4 linked regions of the Notamacropus eugenii genome follow. The protein of the gene in region 4 interacts with the protein of the main gene of each other region in a pairwise test. Links are inferred from orthologs where the notes say so. Each region holds a gene or a part of one and is shown on either strand. Other genes may lie near its edges. The genes, in order: C4H22orf39, KIAA1143, CABP5 and CEP76.

Region 1 (7,095 bases), about 220 Mb from region 4:
GCCCTTTGTGAGGGTCCTCCTCTGGAGCATGAAGTGCGTACGCCCCCCTTAGTGGGGGTAGGCATCAGCAAAGCCTGGCAGTCTAGTCTGGCCTCCTGTGTCCCTAGGGACTAGATGGGCCCTAGGTTCACTTGCTGCCTGTGTGGACAGGCCAGGGCATGGCACAGGCAGGGAGCCACAAGTACCCCACAGAGCAGCGGCAGGTGCTGGGCATGTTGACCAGAGCGGGGCAGGCAGACCAAGCCAGCATCATGGCAGGACCGAGACAGGAGGTGCCCTAGAGGTAACTAGAGGCCCAACATACCTTTCACACACGTGTGAGGGGGAGCAACCTGATGTCCCCAGAGCACAAGACCCTGGTATTCTGGATTCCCTCTTCCCAGTGGTAGGGGAGAGGGAACCATATATATTGCCATCTGAAGAATGTGCTGATCAGCAGCCAATTGGGCAGTGCCTAGTCTTTGAAGGTGATGGACTGGCTAGCTGGGCATGGAGAGCAGGAGGCAGAAAGGGGAGCTGGAGAAGCTGTTGGCTGGTGTGGGGTCAGGTCCACTCACTCCTTGATGAAGTCAGCCCATCTTCTCCATCACATGGTCCCTCACTGGGATTTCTCCTCCCCGGGCAGAGGCGAGTGCCAGTCCCTGGGGGGACTCTGCCTCATGGTCCACACTGGGGGATGCTTCTGTTTGGCCAGGATTCGGGCCTGCTCGCTCTTGCGGAGGGACTCCTGTACAAACAAGAGGCCGGTTCTATGCCCCGCCTGAAGGCCTAGGGTCTCACTGCTTCCCAGAAGCACCTCCCAGGGAGGCTGCAGAGAGCCAGCCCTAACTAAGGGCCCTTGTGGACCCGGGCCTTCTGGGTGTGTCCAGAAGCACAAGAGAGTCGGCTTTAACACTGCCAGCCGGGTGACCAGGGGCAATCTGCTGAGCCTCACTGTCTTCTAGAGGATAAGCCCCCTGAGGGCTGGGCTTGTGTTTGTCTTTGTATCCCCAGAAGCTGGCATACCGAAGGGGCTTAATAAGTGCTGAGTTGAATGCAATCTGTAAAATCGGCCCCTAAAGTGGCCCCGGGACTGGGGCTCGGCTACTGCTCAGCTGCCCCTTTAGAACCTTCACACCCCTCCTGCCCAGAAGGGTGCTAGACAGGCAGATGGCCCACCATCACTGCATCTGTTTTCCCAATTTTCCCCTCTCAAGACTGCAGACCCTCCCCCCAAGCCCTGGGGCTATGGACACAAAAAGGCCCTTTGGGCCCTTTCACTTCTCCAAGCCCCTTCCCTGGCTGCCCCCATGCCTGGAAGCCCCCAGCCTCAGCCCTGCTGCACTCCCGGTGGGTCCATTGGTTTTTCCATCCCCCTCCCACCCATGTTTCACTGGTCTAAACGGTCATTCATTCATGTCACAGCCCAGGGCAGGAGGCTCACATTCCCCTTTTCTGTGAATCTGGGTGACTGAGCTCCCACCGCTCAGGTGCAGACGAGATTCACCCACGCCAGGTGTCCCCACCCTAGGATCCTTGATCTATCCTCAGTGCCCTAGGCTTGCTGAGCTCTTCAAGCAGTCCTGGGGTCCCATTCCTTGGCTGATCCCCTCCCTGCCCGAGCTGAAGGTAAGGCCCAGACCCACTCCCCAGGGCTTCTCCCCACAGTCCCTGCCCCCCAACACGAGGGCCTCTGCCCCTGCTCCCCACAGCGACCTTCCCACCCGGGGCTTCCCCGGCTCTCTGCAGGATAGATGGGCTAACCAAATCCCGACTTTGGCCCGGGATACCTTGGCCTCGGGACTCCCGCTCTCCTCCCACTGCTGGCAGTGTTGGTAATCGCTTTTCCACTGGGCGCAGGCCGGGGTCTCCCCGTAGGTATAGTAATGATGAAGGAAGTTCCTCAGCGTCCGGCAGTGCTTCCATTCAGCCCAGTAATCCTCGCAGCTCCGGGGAGGCTGCAGAGGGGAAAGGCAGACACCAGGGAGGCTCAGGACGAGGGTCCCAGCCCAGGGTGGTCATAGAGGGGGTGTGTGGCCAGGGGCTGCTCCTCCCCGCCTGTCTCAGGGGCCCTCCATATGCAGTCACAGAAGAGCTGAGAGTTCTGGGTTTGAATCTTGGCCACAAACGCCTGCAGTGGGATTGCAGGAATGACTTGGGGCCTCCGGACCTCCCAGAGCTGACGGTAAGTTCCTCAAAGTCAGATGATTTCATATTTCTGCTTTTCTATCCCCAGCCCTAGCAGTGGCTGGCACACAGTAGGTCCTTTCCCAATGTTGGCTGAATCCAAGGAAGTGTTCTGAAGACTCAAGATAGCCGGCTTTTCTTCCCAGGTCCTCTCAGACTCCCTCAACTTGTCAGTTTCCCTCTTGACCCCGCCCCCAGCCTCAAGGCCAGGCCCCCAGCATCGACCACGCTCACCTCAGGTAGGCCCCGCCCACTACCTTACCTCCAGTTTGGAGCTCCTTAGCCTTATTGGAAGCTCCCGTCTCAGACAAGCTCCATGGGCTCCGCCCCTTCAAGTTTAGCCCCGCCCATCCGTGGCATTCTATCTCCACCCCTACAATCCACAGTCACTCCCACACTTAGGGTTTGGGCCCTCCCTTTAGGTTTTTTTTTCTCCCGGTCCCGACAACTCTCAAGTTTTTTCACCTCAACTGTCAGCCCCGCCTCCTCATACCTGGCCACGCCCTCCTCCCTCCTAGCTCCTCCCACCAGCCCATTGTCCCTCCCCAATCCCTGCCGCCCTCCTCCTCTCTTGCACAGCTAAGTCCCGCCCCTCAGCCCTTAGGCCCCGCCCCCAGCCTCCAGTCCTAGGCCCGACTCCCCCAGCCTCCAGGCCTGTCCGGCCTCCCCACCGGCCCTCGTCCTGCCCCAGCCTCGCTCCTGATCCCTCTCCCGGCCCCTGAAGCCACCCCCGTCCGCCCTCACGAACCCTCCACAAGCTCTCTTCAGGGTCGGCCATTTTGCAGCTCCTGGCCCGCCCCGCCTCTTCAGGGTATCAGCCAATAGGAGGGGTTAAGCCTCTTGCGGAGTGATGGACAGACCCACGAACCAATGAGCTCCCAGATCCAAGCAGCCAATCCTTTGGCCGGTGAGGCGGGGCTGGAGGGCTCACCTGCCCCGGGGAGCCCCGCGCCGAGCTGGGCTGAGGCGCCTGCTGCGGGTCTGGGGTCCGAGCCCAGCCTCGGAACCGGAGACTTAACTGGGCCCAGGAATCGTGTCCGTTCCGTGCGCTGGCATCCCGCCGAACTCTCCCCCTCTGCTTGAAGACTGGGTCTGACGGGGAGCTCACTCTTCCTTCTTCCAGAAACAGGGGGCGTCCCCTCCCCCCTCCCCCTTTGTCTCTTCCCCTCCGGATTTAGCCTTTGAATCGTCCCGCAGGACGCTCCGTTTCTCCTCTCCGAGCCTTTGCACTGGCTGTCCCGGATGCCTGGGATTCCCTCCTCACCTCGGCCTGCTTTCTTTCAAGGCTCCGGGGCCGCCTTTCACGCAGAGCTCGTCCTGACCCCCTTCCCTTCACACCCCTGCCCCCCGATCCCCCCGCGTTTACTTGGTGCACGACGTGCGTCTGTCAGTAAGAATCATGGGGCACCTACTATGTGCCAACGCCGTGCCAGGCTCCGGGGCCGCCCTTCGCTCAAGGGGCGCAGAGCTCAGTGGGCTGTGGGTGAGGACGAGGGTCCCGCTAATGCCCCCAGCTTGGATGCACTGCTTACACCCGGGTGTCTCCCCTGCTCCTGGCCAGCCTGCGGGTTGAGACCTCCCCGCAAAGAGCACTTGGCACGGTGCCTGGCACACAGTAGGAGCTTCTCTCCTCCCTCCCCCTCGCGGGGAGGAGATTCTGGTTCTGGGCAGGGTGTCCCCCACCCCCACTCCCCAGGCATCAGGATGGGGGGCATTCTCACTCAGTGCCACTAGGCAGGGGCATGGAGCGAGGCTAGCGGTCTGTGGTTCTGAGGCGGTCGGGAGTCCTGTGCCCGGCTCCCTGACAGCGAAGTCCAGCACTCTAGCTAATGGCCCCTTTTGCCCCTGTTTCTATCTCTTCAGCTCATCTAGAGAGGAGGGGGCTGGATCAGATGAGCCCCCCTACCCCCTCCGATCCAAAAGCCGGCCTTGGAAGGTAGGCCTGAATTCGGACCAGCTGCGGGCATCCCCTACCTGGACCCAGCCTCAGCCTTCTCCTCTGCAGAATGGGCTTATGTAGTGACAGCTGCTGCGCCCCGCCCAGGGTGGAGACCTTGGCAGGAGCAGTGACAAATCTCCAGGCCTTAGGGAAAGGCTGGCTTCAGTGATGGCCGTGGAAACAGGGAGCCAGCTTGGAATAAACAAGGAGACTGTCAGGGGCTCCAGAGGACCCTGACCCCAGACAGAGCTGATGGAACCCGGGGCAGAGTGAGACAAAGACGCTACTTGGGGACATGGCTAAGGACATGGCCTGACTGCCCACGGTTGGGTCTTGTCTGGGGTTTTCTTGGCAAAGATACTGGAGTTTCCTTATCCAGCTTATTTTACAGATGAGGAAACTGAGGCAGACAGGGTGAAGTGACTTGCCCAGGAAAACACAGCTAGCACGTGTCTGAGCTAGAATTGAGCTTTGGTACTCTGACTCCAGGCCCAGTGCCACTTCACTGCCCCTCCATTGAAATAGTTATCAGAGAAAAAAAATTAAGTTCATAGACCCCAGGTTAATAGACCCCTTTGGCTTAGTGCTAGGGGGCCTCTCAGAAGCATATCTGAAAGTACTCCACACTGGGTACAGTTTGGACAAGTCCTGATGATTCCCATTTTACAGATGAAGAACATAAGGCTGGGGAGAAAAAACACAGCGTTAAGTCAGAAGGGATGCTGGCAATCATTCTAGAGCCAAAGAAATCAAGGCCGAATGGTGGTGACCTCTCCAAGCTTCTAAGGCACTGAACAGCAGGACTGGGCTAAGGATGCCAAAATCAGAGCGAGGAGGAGGTGCTAGAATCCCTCCTCATTCTAGCCTTCTCTAGTGACAATGACAGAGGCCTCCATGAGGGGCACTAAAGCTTGCCTTGGCACACAAACAATGTAGCTTAGAGGAAAGAGGAACCAGCCTGGTGCTATGGCAATGTTCTTCATTATCTAATCATCAAGGTTCAGTTAAGTCAAAGCTCCTGAATGAGGCTGCCACCTAGAAAGCCTGCAGGCCAGGGAGCACTGTCCTTCAGCAGGGGCAGGTGCCTCCAGTTGACTGAGGGGCCTCTGGCTCCCATGGGGGTCTCACTGCAGACTCTCAGCTCCACTTAGCTTTGAACACAGAACCCCAGCAAGGCCTCTTTGGGCCCCAACTTAGAGATGGGATCATCTGTTCCAGCACCAGGACTCAGGACTCCAAGAAGGTGCATGCTGCCATCTGCTGTCCTCTAATGAGTAAGGGGCACATTGTCCCTACTCATGAAGACCTTTGGTGCTCTCCCTACACGTGGGCCTGCTCAGCTGTTCCCTTCTCTTTTGGGCAGAGGTTTAAGGAAAAGCACAAGAGCAGGTCACCACCCCACTTGATTAACATGGCCAAGCTTGGCTGCAAGGATTAGGCCAGGCCCAGCGATCAGGAGCTAGAAGGAACTGAGCACAGTTGGAAGGTCCAAAAGAATCTCTCTGTAATCTCTGTGGCCTCTTTCAGTGGCTGGGGCCACTGGATGACAAAGCATGACTATGTGCTATGCAATGCCCCTCACCTGGCACACAGCAGGGCACTTCCTAAGAGATCACTGGCAGAAATAAAACTGATGTGGCGCAGGGGTCAAGGATTCCCTGTTCTCCTTTGTGAATGCAGATTCCGAAGGAACCTTCCAAAGAGGGATTCAAAGAGCTGGGCCAGGATGTTGGAGACCCCACGGTTGTGCTAAGGAATAGTATGGCTAAAAAACCAAAATCTCATAAAGACTAGGAGTGACCTGCATGAACTGATGCAAAGTGAGGCGAGCAGAGCCAGGAGCACATTGTACACTGTACTGGCCACACTGTAGCAGCGATCCGCTGCGAATATAATGACCCCAGGCCATTCTGGGGGCCTCATGGTGAAGGTGCTGTCCACCTCCAGAGAAAGAACCTGGAGCCTGAATGCAGATGACAGGTGCTTTTTCTTTACCGTCTTTATTTTTTGGTTTTGTTTTTTGTTTTCTTTCACAGAATGACTTGCATGGAAATGTGCTTTGCGTAACTACACACATACAATCTATGTCAAATTGCAGGGCTGGAAGAAATTTGGAACTCAAAATATGAAAAAATAGAATGTTAAAATTGCTTTTTTAATATAATTGGGATACAAAATAAAATTTTTGAAAAAAGCAAAGAAAGCCAAGACCCAAGTCCAGATGAACTGGAGAATCTAGAATATGGCAGTCAGTCCTCTTGTCCAGCCAGCATGAATGAGGCCCAGAATGTTTAGTCAGGCCAGTCATAAAGCCACACTGACCATGCTGACGAGAACCCAGGGAAACCTCAGCAAACCTCAGCTCCCATGTTTGGTGTCCCAAGGCTTTACAAGCATTGGAGGCAGTTGCTACAGAACATATTTATTAAGGGAACACAATGACTTTCACTGTCAGCCTCGACAATGAAGGGGCCGCCAATTATTAGCTTCTTTCTGGGGGCTCTGTAGCTTGGACAAATCAAGAGAAAACACCAGGAAGAAACCCTTTCTAGGGTGACCACTGTGGTCCATGGCACAGAGTGGATCGAATGGCATTTCTAGGTGGGGGATAAGAGAGGACCAATGGACAGAAGGTCCCTGGCCCCTCTAGGTGTGGACCATGCTGTCCTTCTCCGACCACGTTAGTCAGAGATAAAGGACCCATGGCCCAGACCGAGCCAATGGAGGGCTCGGTCCCCCCAGCTGCTGGGGGCAGGTGCAGAGGGCTTGCCTGCTGCCTTGGTGACTTGGAGACAGTTCAGTTTGGCTGGTCCTTTCCCAGAAAGCACACTGCCACCAAGTCCTGAAGCTTCCTGGGCTAGGCAGGGGAGGTATTTCTTAAGAAACTCTAAAGGAAACGAACAGCAGGTCATGAAATATCCTCTGGTGAATATCTTCTGTCCCTGACAAATCTAGTAACTAAAGTCAAGAGATTGCAATAGATTATTTTA
Region 2 (7,993 bases), on a different chromosome or scaffold from region 4:
ATTTCTAATAATCTATACAATACCCAGGCCACGTTGAAAGATATAAAAATGAAGTAACTCTAAGACTGTCTGGGCTGTTATAAAAAAAAAGAATTTTCATTTAAATTGAGTTACAGCAAGGGAACATCTGTCTTCCAGCCTTTGAGAAATGTCTTTACTCAAAGATCTGACTAAACAGCCTACAGTGGGTGGGTGGGTGGCTTACATTGAACCATGTGAAGAGATGATGCTTAGCTCAGATGTTTTATGTCAGTCTATAGTTGGGTAGCTGGGAAGATGGTTAGAGTTCTTTGATACTAATGCCAAGGTTGAGCATTAGATCCTCACATGAGCCAATTAGGTTTCAGGTGTCATCCAGAGACAGATTCCTTTCAATCCTAAAAGCTGGGCCTTTGGCCACTAGGAAAGATGGGAATGGTGTGAATCGATTAATGCAAAACCACGAATGGGAAAATAACTCAAAATGATGCCATATTCGTGGTAGGCCAGTAATCTCACTAAAAGGGTCCTTGGCTTTAGATTGACTACTTGCTGGACTATAGAGTCCTTTGAAAAAGTCTCTTAATGGTGAATATTATTAATTTTAATTATTATGGCTCTGTAGCTTTGGTTTCCATCACAGAATTGCTCAGAAAGATTTCCTAGAAGGCAGTCAGAAAAAGAGGCAGTCAATTTGTGCCATGTGTATCTCTCCCTTCCCCTTTGGCTCACTGGTTACACATTTGATTATTTGGAGATACTGGGGTTTCAAGACTTCTCGTCTTGAAGAATACTGAAATTACTGCCTTAAAACCTATGTCCATCTTGGCCTCTACATCTTTGCTTGTATCATGCCCCTGAGTAGAGGTGTCTTTCCCTCTTCCCTATAGCTGAAATTCTCCACCTCTTTCAAGGCCTCAGGACTACTCCTACTTCCTCTATGGAATTGTCATTGACTATTCCCATCCTACTCAGTACTGAGTCTCTATCACAAATGTAGTTTTTAAGTACATTGTCTCCTGAAGTTAGATGAAATTCAGCGTGGCTCAAGGGCTGTTGTGTTTGTCCTTGTTTTCAAAGAGGACCATGATATCAGGGAAGTGATGACATGAACTGCAGTTAACTGATTTGAGTGAGGGAGGGCTGTGCAAGGTCATCAGCCTCACTCTCTCCTCCTGAGACATTTTGATCCAGTATGCAAGGAGAGACCCTTGCCCTCTTAGCAGCTTTAGAGGATCAAGGGTAAGAGAATAGTCAGGAAGACCCCAGTTAAAGTCCTGTCTCTTACGCATGGGGGCTGTGTGACCATGGGCAAATCACTTAAGTTTACAGGACTAAAACACTAAAAGTTTGGGGTGAGCACCTAGTCTAACCTTCTTGTTCTGGGTTCCAGGTTCTCAACTTCCTAACTAAATTTTTCTGGAAAAAGTTAATTTGAAAGTAGATTTTTTAAAAAAATTTTAATTTTTGCTGCTGGCCAGGCAAAACAAACTAGTTACAGTTCTGACTACCGCCTATCAAATACAAGTCCTATATTTGACACAAATCAGCCACATGACCATAAGCAGGTCAGTTAGCTTCTCAGATCCTGCAGACAACGCTTTAAGCTTCAGAGAGCAATAACTGGTCCAAATTTCGCCCCTTTCCCCCCAAGGACACTGTCCCCCTCGCCTTCCCTGCCCCCCAATCACCCCCCAAGAAGGCAAGGCAGCTCAATGGGCCAGGAGTCAGAAAGACCAGAATTCAAATACAGCCTCTGACCCTCACTAGATGTGTGCCTCTGGGTGTGTCACTCAACCTCTGCCTGCTGGCCTCAGTTTCCTTATGTGGCAATGGGATGAATAACAGTGCTGCGGACCTTCTAAAGCAGTGGTGAGGCTCAAATAAGATGACAATTGTAAAGCCCTCTGCAAACCTTAAAGTGCCACATAATATCCGGGGCCCCTTTCCTGTTACTGTTACCACTAAGAAGTGAGGGACCCGCCCTCAAGCAAGAGTGACAGTAACAATGTAACAATAACCAAAGCTTATGTAACATTTTTACAGTTGCAAGATTCCTTGCGCGCATCATAGTATCTCTTCTGATCCTGATAAACGTGAGGGGAACGGGGGGGGGGGGTGCTAATCTATCCCTGCTTTACAGACGGGGAAACTGAGGTAGACACCGGCAAAGTGAGTGACCTGCCCAGGGCTCCCGTGCCAGGAAGCGTCGTTGGAAAGACTCGAACTCGAGTCTTGCACGTGATTCACACTCCAAGCCTCCCCCTCCCCCCGCTGCCCTCGCTCCGAGACGGGGTGCTCTACCTCGGCTGGGGAAGAGAAATGCGCAACAGCCCACAGGGCTGGGCCAGACTCCAGAGCGCAGGAGCAACCGGAAGTGAAGGGGCCCAGGCGGAGTTTCCTTAGCGACTCGAGGGGCGGGACAAGTGCCTCCTCACCTTGGTTTCTACGGTGGGCCCCTCCTTGTAGCCAACCTTCTCCTTAAAGCGGGACAGGAACGCGGGCTCCGGCGGACGCACGTATGACACCTGGTTTCGCTTGCTCATGGTTTCTCTGCGAGGAAGCGGCCGGGGATGGAGACAGGCAAAGGGGCCCCGGATCTTATTCGTCTCCCGGAAGCGAGAGTACGCCTCCTCCCACGCCGGCCTCCGTACCCGGGGGCGGGGCCAAGGACTCGTCATCCGCGACGGTACCTCCTCGACACGTGATAGGGGCCCTGCGTCCTTCCGCTGACTTCCGCCCGTTCCATGGCGCTCCCATCGAGGCTTCCAGGGGCGTGCTCGCTCCGCCCCTTTCCGGCCGCCTAGCGCCAAATTCAAACACACCGCCATTTTGCTTGTACTGTAGGTTTCCGCTCTCCCTTAGACCCGGGGTTGGGGTTCACGTTTGGGGAGCGGGAGCGTGATGGCACCTGGTGTCAAAGGTGAGTGAATGAGTGTGTACGGGTTTGGGGAGGAGGGATCCTAGACTCGTCGCTGCCAGAGGCTGCGATCCCCACTTGGGGTACCTAGGCCCGCTGGACGCGGCCTGGACCAGAAGCCCCCGGGGGGGGGGGGGGGGGGAGGAGGGGAGGGACCTTCCCAGGCTCCTCCTACCGTGGCCGCCCCGTTAATTAGGTTGTAATTAACGCAGTGACGCGGTGTTTTACGGAATGCGTGACCCTGTGTAATATAGAATGCGTAACGAGTAATAATCTGAGGCTTGTAACGCTGATCAGCCGCGTGGTGCTTAGGTGGAGGGTCCAGCGGAGTCAGGAGGACGCGCGTTCAGATCCGCCGCTGCAGCCTGTGTGCCTCAGTTACCCCATCTGTAAAATGAGCCCGAGAAGGAAATGGCAAAGCACTCCACTGCCCTTGCCAAGAAAACCCCAGATGGGGTCACAAAGACTCAGGCCCGACTGACCAATAATCAGATGAAAGATATGGATGTATCAACATGTATACCAATAAAAAAATATATTTACAATGCTTTGCAAATCTGTAATTGCTACAGAAATGCCTTAATGATTATCATGATTACCAGTCTTCATTTTCCTTTGTTTTTCTTTCCTCACCTGTGAAATGAAGGGGTCCCTTCCAGCCTTAAATATGGGATGCTGGGTCCTGGTTGTGAATTCTGACTCAGTTTTCCTCGTTTGAAAAATGACAGAATAGAAACTGCTGAACCCTTAGGTCTAAATCTGACATCTTGAAAGGGCTGTTACACTTTGTTCTTGTTGTTAAGTTGGTGGAACTGTTTTTCTCTTTTTAGAGATGAGGAAACGGAAGCAAAGTAGAGTTTTAAAATATTGTTATTAAGCTTGATAAATGCTTTCACTAAACTATCTGTTGTAGGTTCACAGGTACTTAATTCAATTGAACACATGTACATAAAGCGCCTGATAAAAGGCACTGCTTTAGGTGCTAGAAACACAAATTAAAACAGAATTTGATCACAACTTCTCTGGGAAGTTTGCAGGAGGCAGGTGACCACTAGACTAGTGGTTTTCAAATTTTTTAGTCTCACCACCCATTTATACTCTTGAAAACTATTGAGAAGCTCTAAGAGCTTTTGCTTATGAGAATCCTATCAATATTTTTTGGTTTTTTAAAATTTATTTTATTTGTTTTCAGCGTTGTACAACCTCTTCCATATAACTTTGATTTTTCCCCCTCCCTACCCCTCCTTGCCTCTCCTTCCCTCCTCCATCCTCCTTTCCCCATCCCTCCCCCCTCCCTCCCTGAGACGTCATGTAATTTTATATAGATTCTACACATACATTCCTATTAAATACATTTTCACCTTGGTCATGTTGCATAGAAGAACTAAAATGAATAGGAGAAATCATAAGACATACCAAAACATAATACAAAAGAAAATGATCTGCTACGTTCTGCAATAGAATTCCATAGTTCTTTCTCTGGATGTGGAAGGCATTTTGCCTTAAAAGACCATTGGGAATTTTTTAAGTCCTTGCATTGCAGTGAAGTTCTCAGCCTACCAGAAAAAATCCTTGCACACTGTGGTTGTAGCTGAGTATAAAGTTCTCCTGGTTCTGCTCCTTTCACTCAGCATGAGTTCATATAAGTTTTTCCAGGCTTCTCTGAAGTCTTTCTGTTCATCATTTCTTATACTATAATAAAATTCCATTACATTCATATACCACAATTTATTCAGGCATTCCCCAATTGATGGGCATTCCCTTGATTTCCAGTTTTTGGCCACCACAGAGAGTGCTGCTATAAATATTTTTGTACAAGTGGGACCCTTTCCTATTTTTTTGATCTCTTGGGGATACAGTCCTAGAAGCATTATTGCTGGGTCAAAGAATATGCACATTTTTGTAGCGCTTTGGGCATAGTTCCAAATTGTTCTCCAGAATGGTTGGATCAGCCCACAGTTCCACCAACAGGGAATTAGTGTTCCAGCTCTCCTACATCTTCACCAACATTTATCATCATCCTGTTTTGTCATGTTAGCCAATCTGATAGGTGTGATGTGGTATCTCAGAGTTGTTTTGATTTGCATCTCTCTGATCAATAGTGATTTAGAGCATTTTTTCGTATGACTGTAGATAGCTTTGATTTCTTCCTCTGAAAACTGCCTGTTCATATCTTTTGACCATTTATCAATTGGGGAATGACTAGTATTCTTATACATTTGACTCAGTTCTCTATATGTTTTAGAAATGAGGCCTTTATCACAGATACTAGTTGCAAAAATTCTTTCCCAGTTTTCTGCTTCCCTACTCATCTTGGTTGCATTGGGTTTGTTTGTGCAAAAACTTTTCAATTTTATCAAAATTATCCATTTTGGATTGCGTAATGTTTTCTATCTCTTTATTTCATCAAAAGTTCTTCCCTTCTCCATAAATCTGATAAATACATTATTCCTTGTTCCACTAATTTGTTTATAATATCAATCTTTGTACCCAGATCATGTACCCATTTGGACTTTATTCTTCTATACAGTGTCAGGCATTGGTCTATGCCTAGTTTCCACCATACTATTACCCAGTTTTCCCAGCAATTTTTGTCAGACAATGAGTTTTATCCCAGAAGCTGGGGTCCTTGGGTTTATCAAACAATAGATTGCTGTATTCGTTGACTACTGTGTCTTGGGTACCTAACCTATTCCACTGGTCTACCCTTTTGTGTCTTAGCCAGTACCAAGTGGTTTTGATAATTGCTGCTTAATAATACAATTTGAGATCTCGTAGAACTAGGCCACCTTCCCTAGCATTTCTTTTCATTAGTTGCCTTGATGTTCTGGATCTTTTGTTCTTCCAGATGAATTCTGATATTATTTTTTCCAGCTCTACAAAATAATTATCTGATAGTTTGATTGGTATGGCACTGAATAAGTAAATTAATTTAGGTAGAATTGTCATTTTTATTATATTGGCTCGGCCCACCTACGAGCAACTGATGTTTTTCTGCTTACTTAGATCTGACTGTTTGTGTGAAAAATGTTTTGTATTTGTGTTCATATAGTCCCCAGGTTTATTTTGGCAGGTAAATTCCCAGATATTTTATAGTGTCTACCATAGCTTTAAATGGGATTTCTCCTTCTATCTCTTGCTGTTGGGCTTTGTTGGTAAAATATATAGAAATGCAGAAGATTTGTGTGGGTTTATTTTGTAACCTGCAACTTTGCGAAAGTTGTTTATTATTTCAAGTAGTTTTTTTACTTCATTTTCTGGAATTCTCTAAGTAGATCATCAAACCATCTGCAAAGAGTGATAACTTAGTTTATCCTTTGCCTATTCTAATTCCTTCAAATTCTTTTTCTTCTCTTGTTGCTACAGCTAACATTTCTAGTACCATATTAAATAATAGTGGTGATAATGGACATCCTTGTTTCACCCCTGATCTTATTGAAAATGCATCTAGCTTATCCCCATTGCATATAATGCTTGCTGAAGGTTTTAGATAGATACTGCCTATTATTTTTTGGGAAGTTCCATTTACTCCTATGTTCTCCAGTGTTTTCAATAGGAATGGGTGTTATATTTTGTCAAAAGCTTTTTCTGCATCTATTGAGATAATCATGTGGTTTCTGTTAGTTTTGTTGTTAATATGATTAATAATGTTAATAGTTTTCCTAATATTGAAGCAGCCCTGCATTCCTGGCATAAATCTTACCTGATCATAATGTATGATTCTTGTGATAAGTTGCTATATTCTTTTTACTAAAACCTTATTTAAAAATTTTGCATCTATATTTATTAGAGAAATTGGTCTATAATTTTCTTTCTCTGTTTTGACTTTTCCTGGTTTAGGTATCAAAATCATATTTGCATCATAAAAAGAATTTGGGAGGACTCCTTTTTCCCCAGTTTTCCCAAATAGTCTATATAGAATTGGAATTAACTGTTCTTTAACTGTTTGATAGAATTCACTTGTGAATCCATCTGGTCCTGGAGATTTTTTCCTAGGGAGTTCACTGATGACTTGTTCAATGTTTTTTTCTGAGATGGGGTTATTTAAATATTCAACTTCCTCTTCTGTTAGTCTGGGCAATTTGTATCTTTTAAAATAATCATCCTTCTCATTTAGATTGTCGAATTTATAGGCATACAGTTGGGCAAAGTAATTTCTTTATGATTGCTTTAATTTCCTCCTCATTGGAGGTGAGTTCACCTTTTTCATTTTTGATATTGATAATTTGGTTTTCTTTTTTTTAATCAAATTGACCAAAAGTTTATCAATTTTATTGGTTTTTTCATAAGGCCAATTCCTAGTTTTATTAGTTAAATAGTTTTCTTAATTTCAATTTTATTGATCTCTCCTTTGGTTTTCAGTATTTCTCATTTGGTATTTACTTGGGGATTTTCAATTTGCTCTTTTTGAGCTTTTTCTGCATGCCCAATTTATTGATCTCCTCTTTCTCTATTTTATTCATGTAGGCACTCAAAGATATAAAACTTCCCCTAAGAACTGCCTTTGCAGTATCCCATAAGATTTGGTAGGTTGTCTCATTACTGTCATTCTCTTGAATGAAGTTGTTGATTGTTTCTATGATTTGTTGTTTAACCCGCTCATTCTTTAGGATTACGTTGTTTAGTTTCCAGTTAGTTTATGGTTTATGTTTCCATGGCCTTTGATTACATATAAGTTTTATTGCATTATGATCTGAGAAGGATGTATTGATTATCTCTGCCTTTCTGCACTGGATTGTGAGGCTTTTATGGCCTAGTACATGGTCAGTTTTTGTGTATGTGCCATGTACCACTGAGAAAAAGGTGTATTCCATTTTTTCTGCATTTAGTTTTCTCCAGAGATCTATCATATCTACCTTATCCAGAGTTCTGTTCACCTCCTTAACTTCTTTCTTGTTTGTTTTGAAGTTAGATTTATCAAGTTGAGAGAGGGGGAGGTTGTGGTCCCCCGCTAGCATAGTTTTGCTGTCTATTTCTTCCTACATCTCCCTTAACTTCACCTCTAAGACTTTGGATGCTATACCACTTGGAGCGTATATGTTTAATAATGATATTGCTTCATTGTCTATGGTGCCTTTTAGCAGTATATAGTTT
Region 3 (6,900 bases), on a different chromosome or scaffold from region 4:
GGTTAGCACTCTTGGCTGGGCGTCTCCAGTAGCAAAGCAGTACTTCCACCACCCCTCAACTAGGAGCTTACACAGAGGTGGGCTGCATGTCAGAACCACAGCCACAGACCTGGGAGGAAATGAATTTTAACTCTGCTGTCCTAAAGCTATTGGAAGAGTGGTGTCTGTCCATGGTGTTTAATGCCTCCCATTCCTTCCCCCAATCCAGACAACCAGACTAACCATGCCCACTGATTAGCTTGACTGAGAGGAAGAAAAGGGCTTTGTTGTTGAGATGACAAGCATGTTTTAAGCACCTATTATGTGCCAGCTGCTGTGCTAGCAGTGGTTAGAAAGCTCCACCCTTCCACAAAAACCCTTTCCTAGCCCACCTTTCTGCTACCTGCCCCCAGCCATGGGGGCACTTCATCTTCCAGACTTAATCCAAATGCTGATTTTGATGGTTTTTAGCTATTGCTTTATAGGAGGGTGAGGCAATCACAAGGGACCCAAGAGTTTGCCCTTGGATCTCTGAGCACCAATTTTTGGCCTGAGGTAAAGAAAAAAAAACTTCTTAACAATTAAAGGTAGACCAAAGTAGAACAAGCTGCCGTGGGAGGTGCTGGGTTGCCTCTTTCTAGACAGAGGTCTTCAAGCAAAGAATGAATGGCTATTGTTGGAGATGGAAAGGGGCTTCTATTTAAGTGCAGGATGAATTAGGTGGCTTTAGAGTTCCTTCCAGTACTGACAGTCTGTTCCATGAAAGGACAGAGCACTGGTATGTCCTTTATGCCTTCCTTTTCAGAGAAAGATGGAAAACAGGTTGCATTGAATGTCATTTTCTGGCCTGGCCTAACCATATTGCTTAAGGGCCCTAGAGGGAGGTCAGGTCCCCTGAGGGAGTCTCTGGGGATTAGAGATCAGATCAGAGTCATGGATTGAATCCAACACTGTACACTTCTATTGCAAAAGATGTAATGACAACCTTTATCCCTTCATACCTCCATCTCCGGTGAGATAGAGAGATGATGATTGAACTGGAATCAGAAAGGATTTTTGTTCCCTCCAACTCCATGGAAGTCTCCTCTAAACTTGTTCTAAGGAGAGATATTGGGTTCCATTTTATACTCCCAGGGCTTCCAGTTTGTCTTCCCAATCCAAAAGATTTCTTAACCAAACAAGGGATAAATAAAATAGATAATTTTGCTTACATGAAGAATGGAAATTGAAAGCCTGGGAAAAAACTTTGCATCACATTTCTGATATGGATCTGGTAGTTAAGATAGTTAGGGAACTAGCAAATAAAAGAGTAAGAGGAATTTCCTCAGTGAAAAAGTTCTCAGCACCAAAGTCCTTGACTTGAGTCAATGGTTTAACATCAGAAGCATATATGATTTATTAATAAAAGTGACATTAGAAGAGATGCCATCATGCACCAAGGACCACAGAATTCTTCCATCTGACTTGCAGCTGCAACTCCTACAAATGTGCTCTCCCTTTGGTAGGATGTGAATTCAGTGAGGGCAGAGCTGGCTGGCTTTTCTGTTTGTGGAGCTTAGCACAGTCCTAGAGTGGATTTTGGTGAGCTTAAAGCTGTGTGTTGAGAGCTGACATAACTGACTCCATTTTGTCCTATATTTACAACTTTTTGCTAAGTGATGCCTCAGCCTGTGCTGCAGGGACAGTTTAAAGCAACCTCTCTTCTTTAGCATTTCCCTTCCTCTAATTGCTGTATGTCTGAAACAGAGGACTCGGAGGATTTGGACCATTCAAAAAATTGACTCTTCTTTATCTTACCTGATAAATGAGGTGTTATTCTCTTTGAATGAGTGGGAATGTCAATGCTAACAAGGACATGTTCCTTCCCTTGTAATTAGTGACAAGCATCTTCTCTACTGACTGAGTACATCTCCTAGTTTCTTACTCTTCTCTGGCTCCAGTAAGGACTGGGGATATGAAGAAAGGCATAAAATAGTCCCTGCTGTCAAGGACCTTACAATCTCATGGGAGAAACTATGCAAACACCAATGTACAAACAAACTATACACAGAATAAGTTATGGGGAGGGGAATCAAGGAGAACCTTCTGGGCCTGGAAAGGTGTTAGCATCCATATGCAATGGAGGAAACCAAGTCCCTTTGAGCAGCACTGAGTTATCGCAGGGGATGATGGATGGAGGTAGGTCAAGGGCTTTACTTCTAGCCTCATACAGCTGCTGGCTTTTACTCAAAGGGCCAGTGATCCAAACACCCTCATGTCAGCTTTTCTTACCCAGTACAAGGGTTAGAACTGGTCCCTGCTAAAGTCAGGGGTAGCTGCTACTGCTCTCTTGACCCAAACCTAATGTTTTTCTGTACAGTCCTGGGTGACCAGACTAGCCTCCACTTGCAACTCCAGTATTACACATTCCTCTCTCTTCTCCCTGTTTCTGCCAAACTTAGAGTCCCAGGATAGAGACACACAGAAAACTAGAGAAGATAGCAAGACACAGAGAGGGACAAGGAAATGAGGATATAAGGAGTTACAAAATGAAACGTGGATGGAAAAATCTAGACATAGCCTAAGACACTCAAGAGAGACAGGATGATATGGGGAGACAGAAACAGAGACAAAGACAGCCTGAGGAAATGGCTAAAGAGCCAAATCAATCAAACAATACATCACGTATTTATTAAACACCTTCTGGGTGCCAGGCACTGTGCTGCCTACTGGAAATACAAAGAGAAAGTGAAACAATTTCTGCCTGCAAGGAGTCTACATTCTATGAGGGAGATAACATCTACCTCTGGAAGTATATATGCCCTGAACAAGTCCAACTCAATGCAAGATAGTTTAGGGAGGGAGAGAGCTAACAGTTGGCAAGGTCAGTTAATGCTTCAGGTAGAAAAATAGTGATTGACTGAACTGGAAACAAAGTTGATGACAATGGATTGGGAAATGGCTAGACAAACTGGTCAAGGAATGCGATGCAGTATTACTGTCTGTAAAAAATGGTGACTGAAGAACCTAGAGAAGTGGGGAAAGGCTTGTATGAACAGATGCAGCAAATCAGTAGAATCATGATATGACAATGTCCATGGAAAGAACTACAACAGCTAAGCAACTGAAATGGAATCTTGCAAAATTCTGATAAATTTATCCCCAAAGAAGGAATCTGAGAAGGCACTTTTTGCAGAGGTGGAAGCCTCTCCCCATCTCTGCCTCTTGACTTTCCTGACTTTCTTCAAGTCTCAGCTAATGATCCACATTCTACAGGCCTTTTTGGTCCCGCTTTACCCTTAACGTTTTCTCTTTCTTGATCATCTTTGATTGGTTCAATATGTGTCTTATTCATACACAGTTGCTCACATCTCACCTTGCCACTGGGACCTCTGCAAGCAGAGATTTTTTTCACTATTTTTTATCCCTAGTGCTTAGCACAGTGCCCAACAACACATGGTGGGTGCTTACCAAATGCTTCTTGACTTGAATCATGCTGTATCATGTCAGCTATATGATATTTTGGAGAAGGGGAAAGGCAAAAAAAAGAAACATTTATGGAGCACTTACTATGTACCTGGAGCTGTGCTGAGTGCTTTTACAAATGTTATCTCATTTGATTCTCACAAAAACTCTGGGAGGTAGGTAACTTATTATCTCCATTTGACAAATGAGAAAACTGAGACAAACAGAGGTTAAGTGATTTGTTCAAGGTCACCTAGCTGCTAGGTATCTGAGTGGATATTTGAACTTAGGTCTTCCTGACTCCAGGCCCAGCACCCTTTACACTGAGCTACCAGCAACTTCTATGCTACTTGGTTTTACAAAAGTTTCCCTCTTCCTCTTTTTAAAATTCTTTATCATAAAAAAGATGGCTTTCTGAGGGAGGTAATTGAATAAGAGTTGTGAGTTCTATGGAAAGAAAAATTGTCAATAAAATTTTAAAAATGAATATAATGCTTTATTGGAGTCTTGGAAGTCTTAGGATGTATTGGAGGAGTACAGACAGGGGAGACAGCTTGGGTGAAGGCACTGGGGAAAGAAACAAGGAATCATGGGGAGAGGAGAGAGAGCCAGAGAGAGACACACACAGACACACACACACCCAAAGAGAGAGGAAGAGAGAGAGAGGGAGAGACAGAGACAGACAGACAGACAGACAGAGACAGAGAGAGACAGAGAGATAGAGAAAGAGAGACAGAGACACACACAGAGAGAGACAGAGACAGAGAGAGAGGAAGTGGTATAGAAAGATCCCTATGGGAGACAGGGACAAAGATGCAAAAGAGACAAAGAAACAGAGAGCCAGAAGTGACAGACATAAATAGAGATTTGAGAAAATAGAGTGACAAATGGCCCAACAAGGAGAAAAGGACCAGTATCAGCATTTCTATTTCCAGATGGAACATCTGGCTCATTGTGTCTGTCTATCATGACCATTGCCCCTAAAAAGGCCTAAGATGCCCCTGCCATAGGGCATCTGGTCATTGAGGTCCTAATTGTTTAGGCTGGGAAACTGATGCTACAAAAAGCCAGCCCGTGACCTGCCTAGGATGATTTGGTGGGTCCATGCCCCCGATTCTTCACACACTGTGTCCCTCATGCCCAGTTATAATTGCTCTACCCAGGAATTCCCTGCCACAAATCTGTTCTGGGGATAAGAGCCAAACTGGGATGACTTCCTGCCCTGCAGCAGATGGAGAGGCCAGGCCCACCTGTCTCTCTCCTCCTCCCCCAAGCCCCAGAGGAGCCTGGGTCCCAACTGTCACTCTTCTTCTCCCCCCTGCCCCAGAAGAAACTGTGTCCCAGCTGTCACCCACTGGATTCAGAGACTAAGACTGAACAGAGACAGAAGCAGAGACAGAGACAGAACAGACTGAGGGAAAAGAGATAAAGAATAGAGAAAGAGGGAGAGATATACAGAAACAAACAGATTAACCCACCAGAAGACAGCTCAGAAAGACAGCAAAGAGGAGATACAGAATCTGAAGGGACCAAAAACAGAGAGAGAGAGAGAGACAGAGAGAGAGAGAGAGAGAGAGAGAGAGAGAGAGAGAGAGAGAGAACCATAAAAAGAGACAAGAGGAGGGCTGTGAGCTGTGAGACCTCTGCAAGATCCTGCATCCTGTTCCCTCTTTGGCCCCATGCAGTTCCCCATGGGACCAGCTTGCATCTTCCTGAGGAAAGGGATTGCGAAGAAACAGAGGGTGAGAAATGGATGGGGAAAAAGGAAAGAAGGAAGGGAGAAAAGATAGAAATGTAGATCTGGAAATGTAAGGCAGCTCAGAGGCCCTCTAGTCTGGCTCCTTCATTTCATAGATGAGGAAACTGAGGTTCAGGTAGATATAATGGAATATTTGTAAAGAAATATTTGTAGAGTTTTGCAAACCTTACAACACTATGCAGATGCTTGGTATTACTAATAGAAAAACTTGGCCAAGATCTCACAGGTAATAAACAAGAGAACGAGATTTGATCTCAAGACCCCTGATTCCAGTAGTCTTTCCTCTGTCCCATGCTGGAAGGAGATGGAAGAACTTGAGAAGAGAAAGGAAGCAGAAGGAGGTAGAAAGTTAGGGGGAAAGGCTAGAGGAGAAGGAAAGCTTAGAAAAGCATGAGGAAGAGGACTGAGGAAGGAGGAGAAAGCAGTTATAAGGAGCTGGAAGAGGAAGAAGAAAGTTGAAGGAAAGAGGTCAAAGAGGAAGGAAGTAGGTGGATGGCAGGTTGGGAGAAATTCTCATCCAGGTGAAGGAAAAGGAAGGAAGTGGAAGAGGAAAGAAGGAAGATGTTGTCAAGGAAGGAATAGGAAAGAGAAGATGGGGAGGGAGCAGAAGCTGGATGAGCGCTGAGGGAGGGGTTGGTGATCCCAGCAGGGGCTGCCAGGAAAGAGGATGTGCATGAGAGGGTATGAATGGCCTCCAGCTCCTTCTTTCAGGACCCTGGAGAGAGCCTGAGGGTCACTGAGTAGTCCTGAAAAGGATCACTCCTGTCCCTGCATCTACCCATCACTCTTTCCTCCTGTACTTTCTTCAGGATCGTCCACTAGGACCAGATGAGATTGAAGGTAACCTCCTTGCCCTTCTCCCTCCCCTGTAGTCCCTCTGAAGCAGCTCCATCAGACCCTCTTCTCTTGCCATGTTCTCCTTACTCCTACTCTAACTGCTGTCAAGGAAATGGTTTCTTGCGATAGCTTATCCCCACCACCAGTTCCCCCAACTCGGTCTCTCCTGGTAGTTTCAAGTTCCCATTCACTGGTGGTATTTCCCCAGAAATTTTAAGTCCTGTAATTTCAATGATTTTCAGTTCCCATTTATCTAAATCTACCTCCATGGCAGTGTCAGGAATTCCCAACTGTCTTTCATTGACTCTGGGAATCTCACCCCTGCCCACTCCTGGCTAGTTTTCATCAATGCCTCTTTTAGAGGCCAAGTCCTGTTCCCAGGAGGAGATCTTGCTTTCCCCCACTTTGTTGGTTTCCAGGCTTCTTATAATCTCCTTCCCATTTCCTGACTTTCTCCTAGAACTTCGGGAAGCCTTCCATGAGTTTGACAAGGATCGAGATGGTTTCATCTCCTGCAAGGACCTGGGAAACCTGATGAGGACTATGGGTTACATGCCCACTGAGATGGAGCTGGCCGAGCTGGGACAGCAGATCCGAATGAACCGTGAGGGTTGGGGTGGAGCAGGGGAAGATGGGGAGGGCTAAAGACAAAATGATGATACTCTTAAATTTCTACAGCTCTCAAAGGTTTTCAAAATGTTTTCCTATCAGGTAGACAATGCAAGTATAGTTTTCGCCATTTGACAGATGGGGAAACAGATTCTGTGAGAGAAATGGTTTATCCAGAGGTACACAGCTAGGGAAGTGGAAGAGCTGAAATTCAAACCCAGGCTTTCCAAATTGGAGTGCAGGGTCCCTTTTATGGCTCTTGAGGGAGAGAG
Region 4 (7,193 bases):
TCTTTTCCATAAGGCTAGTATGAGACATTTCTAATACTTTGCTAAAATTTAGATAAACCTATAACACTCCCCTGATCTACTAGTACAGAATAAAGTATCCACCTGCATGACTCATTTTTGATGAAGCTATGTAAGCTCATTGTAATCACTGCTTCTTTTTCTACATGTTCATTAAACATCTCTTTAATGATCTATTTGAAAATTTTTCCAGGAATCAAAGTTAAGCTCACTGGCCTGTATAGTCAGTAGATGCTTGTTCTCTTCCCCTCCTGCCCCCTTTTTAAAATTAGAATATCTGCCTTTTTCTAAACCTAGTACCTCAGCCATTTTCCACAATATTTCAAATAATACTGACAGTGGCATAACAATTACATCTGTCAATTTTTCAGTATGGAAGATATAGTTCATCTGGATCAGGTGACCCTAATACATCAAAAGGCAACTAGGTGGTCTCTTACTACTCACTACTTCTCTGGGCCATCAGCACTGTTAGCCATTTTCATCCTTTCATGTCCAGGGCAAAGTTCATTCTCCTCAGAAGAGAAAACAGAAGTAAAATAGGAATTGAGTAGTCCTGCCTGTTCTCATTTGTCATAATTACCATTATTTTGGAACTGTTATCTGTCCTTTGTTCTCGAAGAGGACCAATGACATCAGGAAGGTGATGTCCTGATTTACAGTGAATTGGCTTTAAGTGAGGGAAGGCTGTGCAAAATCACCAGCCTCATCTCTCCTCCAGAGTTATCTGGGTCCAGTGGTAAGATATAGATCAGGATGACCGGAGATGGCCCAAGGTGCAGCGGGAGACCTTGGCCTTTTTAAGCTAAGGTCTTTCCCAGGTCTCAGTAAGCTAGGTAAGACTATTCTGAAACACAGAGATGAGGAAGTGAATTCCAGGTATGATGGGAGAAGGGGAAGAGATGACAGGGTCTTATGCAAACAGAGGTAAAGGACAGAGTCAGAGGAGGGGAAATGCTAGAAGTTCACTTTGACTAACAGAGAGTACATGAAGGAAGATATCATGAAACAAGGCTAGAGTTGCAGACAGAGCCAGAATGCTGAAAGCTTTGAATAGCAGGTAAGGAGTATATATTTTACCCAAGAAACAATAGGTTTTTGAGCTGGAGAGTAACATGATCAGCTATGCTTCAGTAAGATTATTTTTCATTGTCTTTTCCCCTAAACCCTCTCCCACTTCCCTATTACTGTCCAGGGTAACACTATCTTCCCTCAGGCTCACAATCTAAGAGTCATCCTCAGCCCCATATCCAATCCGTTGCCAAGGTCTGTTGATACTATCTTTGCAACATCTCTTGAATCCATCTCATTCTGTCCTCTGACACTGCTGCCACCCTGGTCCAGCCCGTTATCATCTCATACCTGGAGTACTGCAACAGACCACAAGTCTCTCTGTACTCTATTTCACCTTACATCTAGCCACCAAAGTGATTTTCCTAAAGTGCCAATCTATGTCAAACTCCCTTCTTCGCCCCATCAATAAATTCAAATGGCTCCCTGTAACCTCCAGGGTCAAACACAAAGTTCTCTGGTGTTCAAAGCCCTTCATAACCTAGTTCCTACCCCTATTCCCCACACTTTTTCAATCTTCTTATACCTTATCCTTCCCCTGCCCCACCAAATACTCTTCAATTCAGTAACACTGGCCTCCTTATTGTTCCACAAACCAAAAACTCCATCTCTCAGATCTGGGCACTTTCTCTGGCTGTCCTCTATGCCAGGAATGCTCTCTCTCCTCATCTCCACCTCCTGGCTTCCCTGGCTTCCTTCAATCCTAGCTAAAATTCTACATTCTCCAGAAGCCTTTCCCAATCTCTCTTCATTCAAATGCCATCTCTCTTTAAATTATTTCCTATTTACCCTGAATACAACTAGTTTGTACATATTTGTTTGTTTGATCACTCCCACTTTTAGACGAGTGCTTCAAAGGCAGGGACTGCCTTTTCCTTTCTTTGTATTCCTAACATTTAGCACGGTGACTGGCACACAGTACAGATGCTTATTAACCAACTGACATTATTTTGGCAGCTTCGAGGGACAAGATTGAAGAGGGTAAAAGCCTGGATACAGAGAGACCAATTAGAAGACATTAGTACAGACAGAAGACTGAACTACAGTAGCAAAAAATCAAGCAATAATGAAGAGAGGGAGACAAATAAAGATATTAGAGCCGGAAAGAAGCTTAGGGATCATCTAACATTGGTGCTCCCCTATTCCCACTTTATAGATGAGGAATCTGAGGTCTAAAGAGCTCAAGTGATTGACTTAAGGACACCAAACTAACCCAGAATTAGGGCTCTTTCCACTCTATCCTCCTCCATCAAGGATTGGGAAGCATGTTCAGGTAGCTAAACTGCTATTTAGAAGGATCTTTTTGCCTCTACCCAAGTGAGATGATTATCCTTAAAAACCAATTTTATAAATACAAGTCCAAGCATCTCGATTCAGAGTCTAAAGACTTGGGTTTGAATTCTGGTCCTATTACTTACTACCTGAAAGACCTAAAGGAAGTCACTAAATTTAGCTGCTTCTTAGCTTCCTAATATGTAAAATGAGAAGATTAGACTGGATGACTTTTATCATCTCTTCCAGTTTGAAATCTTATAAGCCTATATCTTATCTTCCTTCTTATGAAACAGCTAGTGACAATTATGGAAAAGAAACAGAAAAATAACTTTTCTCTCTGTCTAGGAACTTAAGTGGACATTATATTCTATTGGGAAAGAGAGAATAAAGAGCAGGTACCTCAAAACGTAAATACAAAAAAGATATTAAAGAAATTTCAAGGAGAGAGTAATTAGGGGTGGAATTCAATAATGACTTTTTCAAGGAGACAATACTTGAACTGAGCCTTGAAGGAATACAGGAATTCCAAGAGGAGGGGTTAAGGAGAGAGCATAAATAAAAGGAAACTTCAACAAGTGGCTAATGTAGAAGGGCTGTGACAAATGAATAAACAAAATGAAAACTGTCCAAGGTGACCTTTTTATTTCCTCCTTGATATGCATGGTATATCACATACAGGGCTGGATTTGGGAATAAGGAAGACCTGAATTAGAATCCTGACGTTTACCAGCTGTGCGACCTTGGGCAAGTCACTTCACCTCTCTCACCCAGTCTTTTCTCTGATCTGTAAAACCACTGAACTCGCTGGGCTCTAAAGGTCCTTCAGCTCTAAATCTGTGATCCTAACTAAGACCTGCAGGTGAGCTTGACGTAGGGGCTGGAAGCTGTTCAGGTTGCTTTAGTCATCAAAGCCCTTAATAATCCGGCTCCTTTCCACCTTCACAATCCTCTTTAATTCATTAAACTCCCCTCCATTTCCTCTGAAGTCCTGGCCGTCCACCGTTCACAACTCTCCATCTCCCAGCAGTGCTCTCCCCCACCCGCCCTCCATGGCTTTCCTGATTACTTTCGAGTCTCAGCCGAAGTCCCACCTTCTAGAAGAAGCCTGTCCAGTCCTCCTCCATTCTAGTGATGGTCCCCCATTGTTCCTGGCCAAATCTTCAGTACATGGTTGCTTGCCTGTCCTCTCCCCTATTAGACCCTAAGCTTCTGGAAGGCCGGGCCTATCTTTTGCCTTTCTTCTTTCTTCGCATGCCCTGCGCTCAGCATAGGGCCTGGCACACAGCAGGCGCTTAATAAATGCCAGCTGACGGACTAGCCCACGGCTCACAGGCGCGTGCAGGCCCCGTACCAGGTCCTGGGTCCCACCTCGGCACATCGCGCCCGCAGAGCCCCGCTAAGGCGGAGAGACTCACCATCAGCAGGGTGAAGCCAGTAAAGTCGGGCTCTGACGACCCGCAGGGAACGAACATCGTCACCCCGGAGGCAGAAAGCCGGACAAGAGGGAGAATTACGAGGTACAACAAAAGGCAATCTGTTCGCAGCGCGCCAGCTCTGCAGCCCCTGGACGCAGCTCCGGGCTCTAGAGGAAAGGGGCGGGGCGGGGCGGGGTCCTTCTTCTCCGTCGGCGCCGGCCCGGAGCAGGACTATCCTAGCCAAACGCCTGTCTCGCTCGTGGCCAGATCTTGCACTGGTGGGGAGAGGATCCCGTCAGGGGAGGTGGATGGCGGAGGTGGGAAAACTGAGGAAAGCCATGTGGGGAGGAGGGATTGGAAGAAGAAGGCGCGAGCGAAAAGCAGGCAGACAGGAATCAGGCAGTACGGCGGGCACCCTCGCACCTTTTCTCTCCGCCGCAGTTTGAAAACAGTTGCGGCCCGCTCCTGTCGCCTGGGTTGCGGACGTGGTTCCCGCCCAGAGTGGGGCGCTTACGCGGCCGGGCAGTCTGCGCGGGGAGGCGGCGCGCGGCCTGCCCGGGGTCCCGGCTTAGCGTAATACCTCGGGGCGCGGCGGGCGGGTCGTTTGGAGCTCCCGGCGGGAGAGGAGGGAAGGGGAGGGGAAGTGGCAGTGGAGCCGCCGGCTTCACCATGTCTCTGCCGCCGGAGAAAGCGTCTGAGCTCAAGCAGCTCATCCACCAGCAGCTCAACAAGGTGAGGGCAGCGGCCCGGGGCGCGGGGCCTGCGCGCACTGACGGTACCCCGGGGCAGGCGGAGGAGACAGCCACCTTCGCCCGCCTCCCTGCGGGGCTCGGCCCGCCCGAGGACTCTTCTCTGGCCGCTTAAAGAAAGGTCTGCGCCCGGCGAGGACGTTGGGAAGGTTGGCGATTAGACCTCGGGAGGAACCAGCGCCCTCGAGGCAGCGGGAGCTGTCCAGGGCAGCACTGCGAGCCCCGGGGATGCGCCCGCTGGGGCTGCGGAGGTCCGGGCTCGGGGCAGGTCTGGCCTGGGTTTGCTCCCACGATCCGAGGGGGATCCAGGCCCTCCGATGTTTACTGGGCAGAAGTGCTCGTTTCTCTATTTCGGTAACTGTAAGAAAGTACAGGGAGAGGTGCGATTGCACATCTCATAGAAGGACAAGCTTTCTGGGCAGCATGAAATACATAGGCGCAAATTATGCGTAGGTATTCATATTATGATATATGTTTGTGTATATGTGGAGGATGCCCCCAAAGTCAGAATGAGTTTAGGAACTCTCATTTTATGTGTGTGCATGTACATATGAATGTACGTTCACATACACATACATCCATGCCTATGTACAAACACAGGATCAGTTTTTACTGGTCCTTAATTTTCTGCAAAGAGTTATTTTTAATAGAGCCCTGTTATTAATTATGAAAAGACCAAGGCAGATACACACATACGCATACACTTTCCTAATGTGGATCTATATGATTGACGTTTTCTGGTAAACTTTTGAGTGTCTGTTGTAGATAGAGACCAATGTGTACTTAAAGAACATCAGATTTATATGGTCATGCTGCCGAAGTTTTGGCAAGTACTGAAAGCTGGAATGAGCAGTGCAGCCCAGAGATAAAGGCGAAAACTAGAACTTGAAAGTATCTGCCTTCTGGTCAGAGAGATTAAGGGAGAGATGCAGCAGCATAGGCTCGTTGGGGGCAAAGAAACATTAGAAAAGAGGTAAAGAGATCGCTTGAGGGTGCTGCCTTGGCACTAGAGGAACAATTTGGTGTTTAAGATGCTGAGTCAAAAGAAAGGATGTTTCAATTTTCTGAATACCAGTGGGGAAATTTTGATGAAGGTTCCAAGTAGTAAAAGATAGTAAATATTTCCATTAACTAGTATTAAACTTTAAATTCTTAAAAAGTAAGTGATAGAATCAGTTTTTATTATTGCTTCTTTTTTTTTAACCAAATTGTTACATAGTCTATTTATTATCAATGTGGAAAGGCCAAGATTCAAACTTGGGTGTTTATTCTATATTTTTTCCACTTATTTTTGCTTTACTGCTGTATATCCCTTTGTAAAACCAAACCTGTTTATTAGTAATGTTTAACTATCATTATATCTATTGAAAATTTATGGGTTGCTATATAGAAGGGAAAAAATATAATGTTAAGTTCTCTATGTAGATGGATGTCCATGGCAGGATAAGAGAAGTCCTTGCTGAAACTATACGAGAAGAATTGGCACCAGAGCAACAACTTTCAACAGAAGATTTAATAAAAGCCCTTAGACGCCGAGGTATCGTAGATGATGTCATGAAGGAGCTCACTTTTGTTAGTGTAAGTAATCTTTTAGAAACAACAACTCTGTAAATACATTGGAACCTTACTATAACACTGGACCATCCAAGGTTCATGTTAAGGAGTTGCTCTGTAGGTAAAACCACCCTAAAAATCTGTCTTAGCATTTTATTAACTAAACATCCTTTCTTTAGTTAATACTTACCTATAATGAATTCTGCTTTATGGTAAATAGTATTTTAGTGTAGTTCCACAGTATTGCTATTGGGTAAAAAAATTCCCATCTCCCAAAGTGATACAATTTTTTATTTTTATCCTTCAGACATGTTTATGAAAATGGTTGTGTTTTAGGCAAATTAGTTTAGCATCGCATCCTGGAACAATTCTTATACTTTTTTTGTTGTTGTTTCTTTGGCTGTCACACTCACCTAACTTGCTCTTTTAATAAAATTATAACAATCTCTCATCACAGGCAAGCCTTCCCTGAATTCTTATGTCTTTAGACTTGAACCTATTACTAACTTAGTCTGACCACTACATATTTTTCATTTTGATTCTAAAATGACTTTACAAACTTTGTAAACCAAAGATCAAGCTATAGTCCACTTTTTAAATGAGTTTAGCTGTTGACATCAAACTCCCTTTTGTGAAACAGTCTTAGTAACTAAAAATAAAGCTGTTCATTTCTTTAAGTAAGAATAATTCAGGAACTGCTTTAGTACTATAAAATCAATTGGCAAAAATAGGTCATTTAGTGATATAACAAATTCCCAATGCAATAGTGATGGTGACCAGACCTCTTTTGTAAAAATAAGTCATAAAATGAGAAACTGTGACCTAAATTACTTGGTAATGTGTTAAAGGAATTGAGATGATCTTGATAATACACCAGAGACTAAGTACTTTAATACAACTTACTTTTTTGGTGACTAAAACTAATGAACCCATTTGTTGTAATTAACCTAATAACAGTTCCTACTGCATAATTGTCACTACCTCATTAAAATTAGTTCATAATAGGAAAGGTATCAAAATTCTCTTTGTAGGGTGTATAAAATTTAAATGTTATTCCAGAACTTTAAGACTTAATCATTATGCTGGTTCATAAATAAACTAGGTTTTTAAA

The links.
Region 1: the proteins of CEP76 (region 4) and C4H22orf39 interact in binary tests that used the Homo sapiens proteins (3 or more experiments, as listed by UniProt). The two-hybrid records come from large-scale screens. The link is inferred for Notamacropus eugenii from reciprocal best matches to the Homo sapiens genes CEP76 and C22orf39.
Region 2: the proteins of CEP76 (region 4) and KIAA1143 interact in binary tests that used the Homo sapiens proteins (3 or more experiments, as listed by UniProt). The two-hybrid records come from large-scale screens. The link is inferred for Notamacropus eugenii from reciprocal best matches to the Homo sapiens genes CEP76 and KIAA1143.
Region 3: the proteins of CEP76 (region 4) and CABP5 interact in binary tests that used the Homo sapiens proteins (3 or more experiments, as listed by UniProt). The link is inferred for Notamacropus eugenii from reciprocal best matches to the Homo sapiens genes CEP76 and CABP5.

Annotation. Positions count from the first base shown.
Region 1 is NC_092875.1:12,019,932-12,027,026, reverse strand, and holds the start of C4H22orf39 (synaptic plasticity regulator PANTS), read right to left. Parts: upstream 3,004-7,095; 5' UTR 2,945-3,003; coding exon 2,915-2,944; intron 1,938-2,914; coding exon 1,770-1,937; intron 728-1,769; coding exon 599-727; 3' UTR 1-598. UniProt on the Homo sapiens protein: Negatively regulates long-term potentiation and modulates adult synaptic plasticity. Stabilizes the interaction of RTN4 isoform A/Nogo-A with its receptors, inhibiting clustering of postsynaptic AMPA receptors at synaptic sites.
Region 2 is NC_092874.1:43,554,269-43,562,261, reverse strand, and holds the start of KIAA1143 (uncharacterized protein KIAA1143 homolog), read right to left. Parts: upstream 3,009-7,993; 5' UTR 2,907-3,008; coding exon of another isoform or gene 2,884-2,906; 5' UTR 2,811-2,883; coding exon 2,418-2,810; intron 1-2,417. Other genes in the region: kinesin-like protein KIF15, read left to right, coding at 2,884-2,902.
Region 3 is NC_092876.1:11,222,933-11,229,832, reverse strand, and holds the start of CABP5 (calcium-binding protein 5), read left to right. Parts: upstream 1-3,885; 5' UTR 3,886-5,102; coding exon 5,103-5,165; intron 5,166-5,991; coding exon 5,992-6,022; intron 6,023-6,479; coding exon 6,480-6,623; intron 6,624-6,900. UniProt on the Homo sapiens protein: Inhibits calcium-dependent inactivation of L-type calcium channel and shifts voltage dependence of activation to more depolarized membrane potentials. Involved in the transmission of light signals.
Region 4 is NC_092875.1:229,708,296-229,715,488, forward strand, and holds the start of CEP76 (centrosomal protein of 76 kDa), read left to right. Parts: upstream 1-4,183; 5' UTR 4,184-4,448; coding exon 4,449-4,511; intron 4,512-4,559; exon of another isoform or gene 4,560-4,649; intron 4,650-5,953; coding exon 5,954-6,106; intron 6,107-7,193. Other genes in the region: PSMG2 (proteasome assembly chaperone 2), read right to left, coding at 3,780-3,836. UniProt on the Homo sapiens protein: Centrosomal protein involved in regulation of centriole duplication. Required to limit centriole duplication to once per cell cycle by preventing centriole reduplication.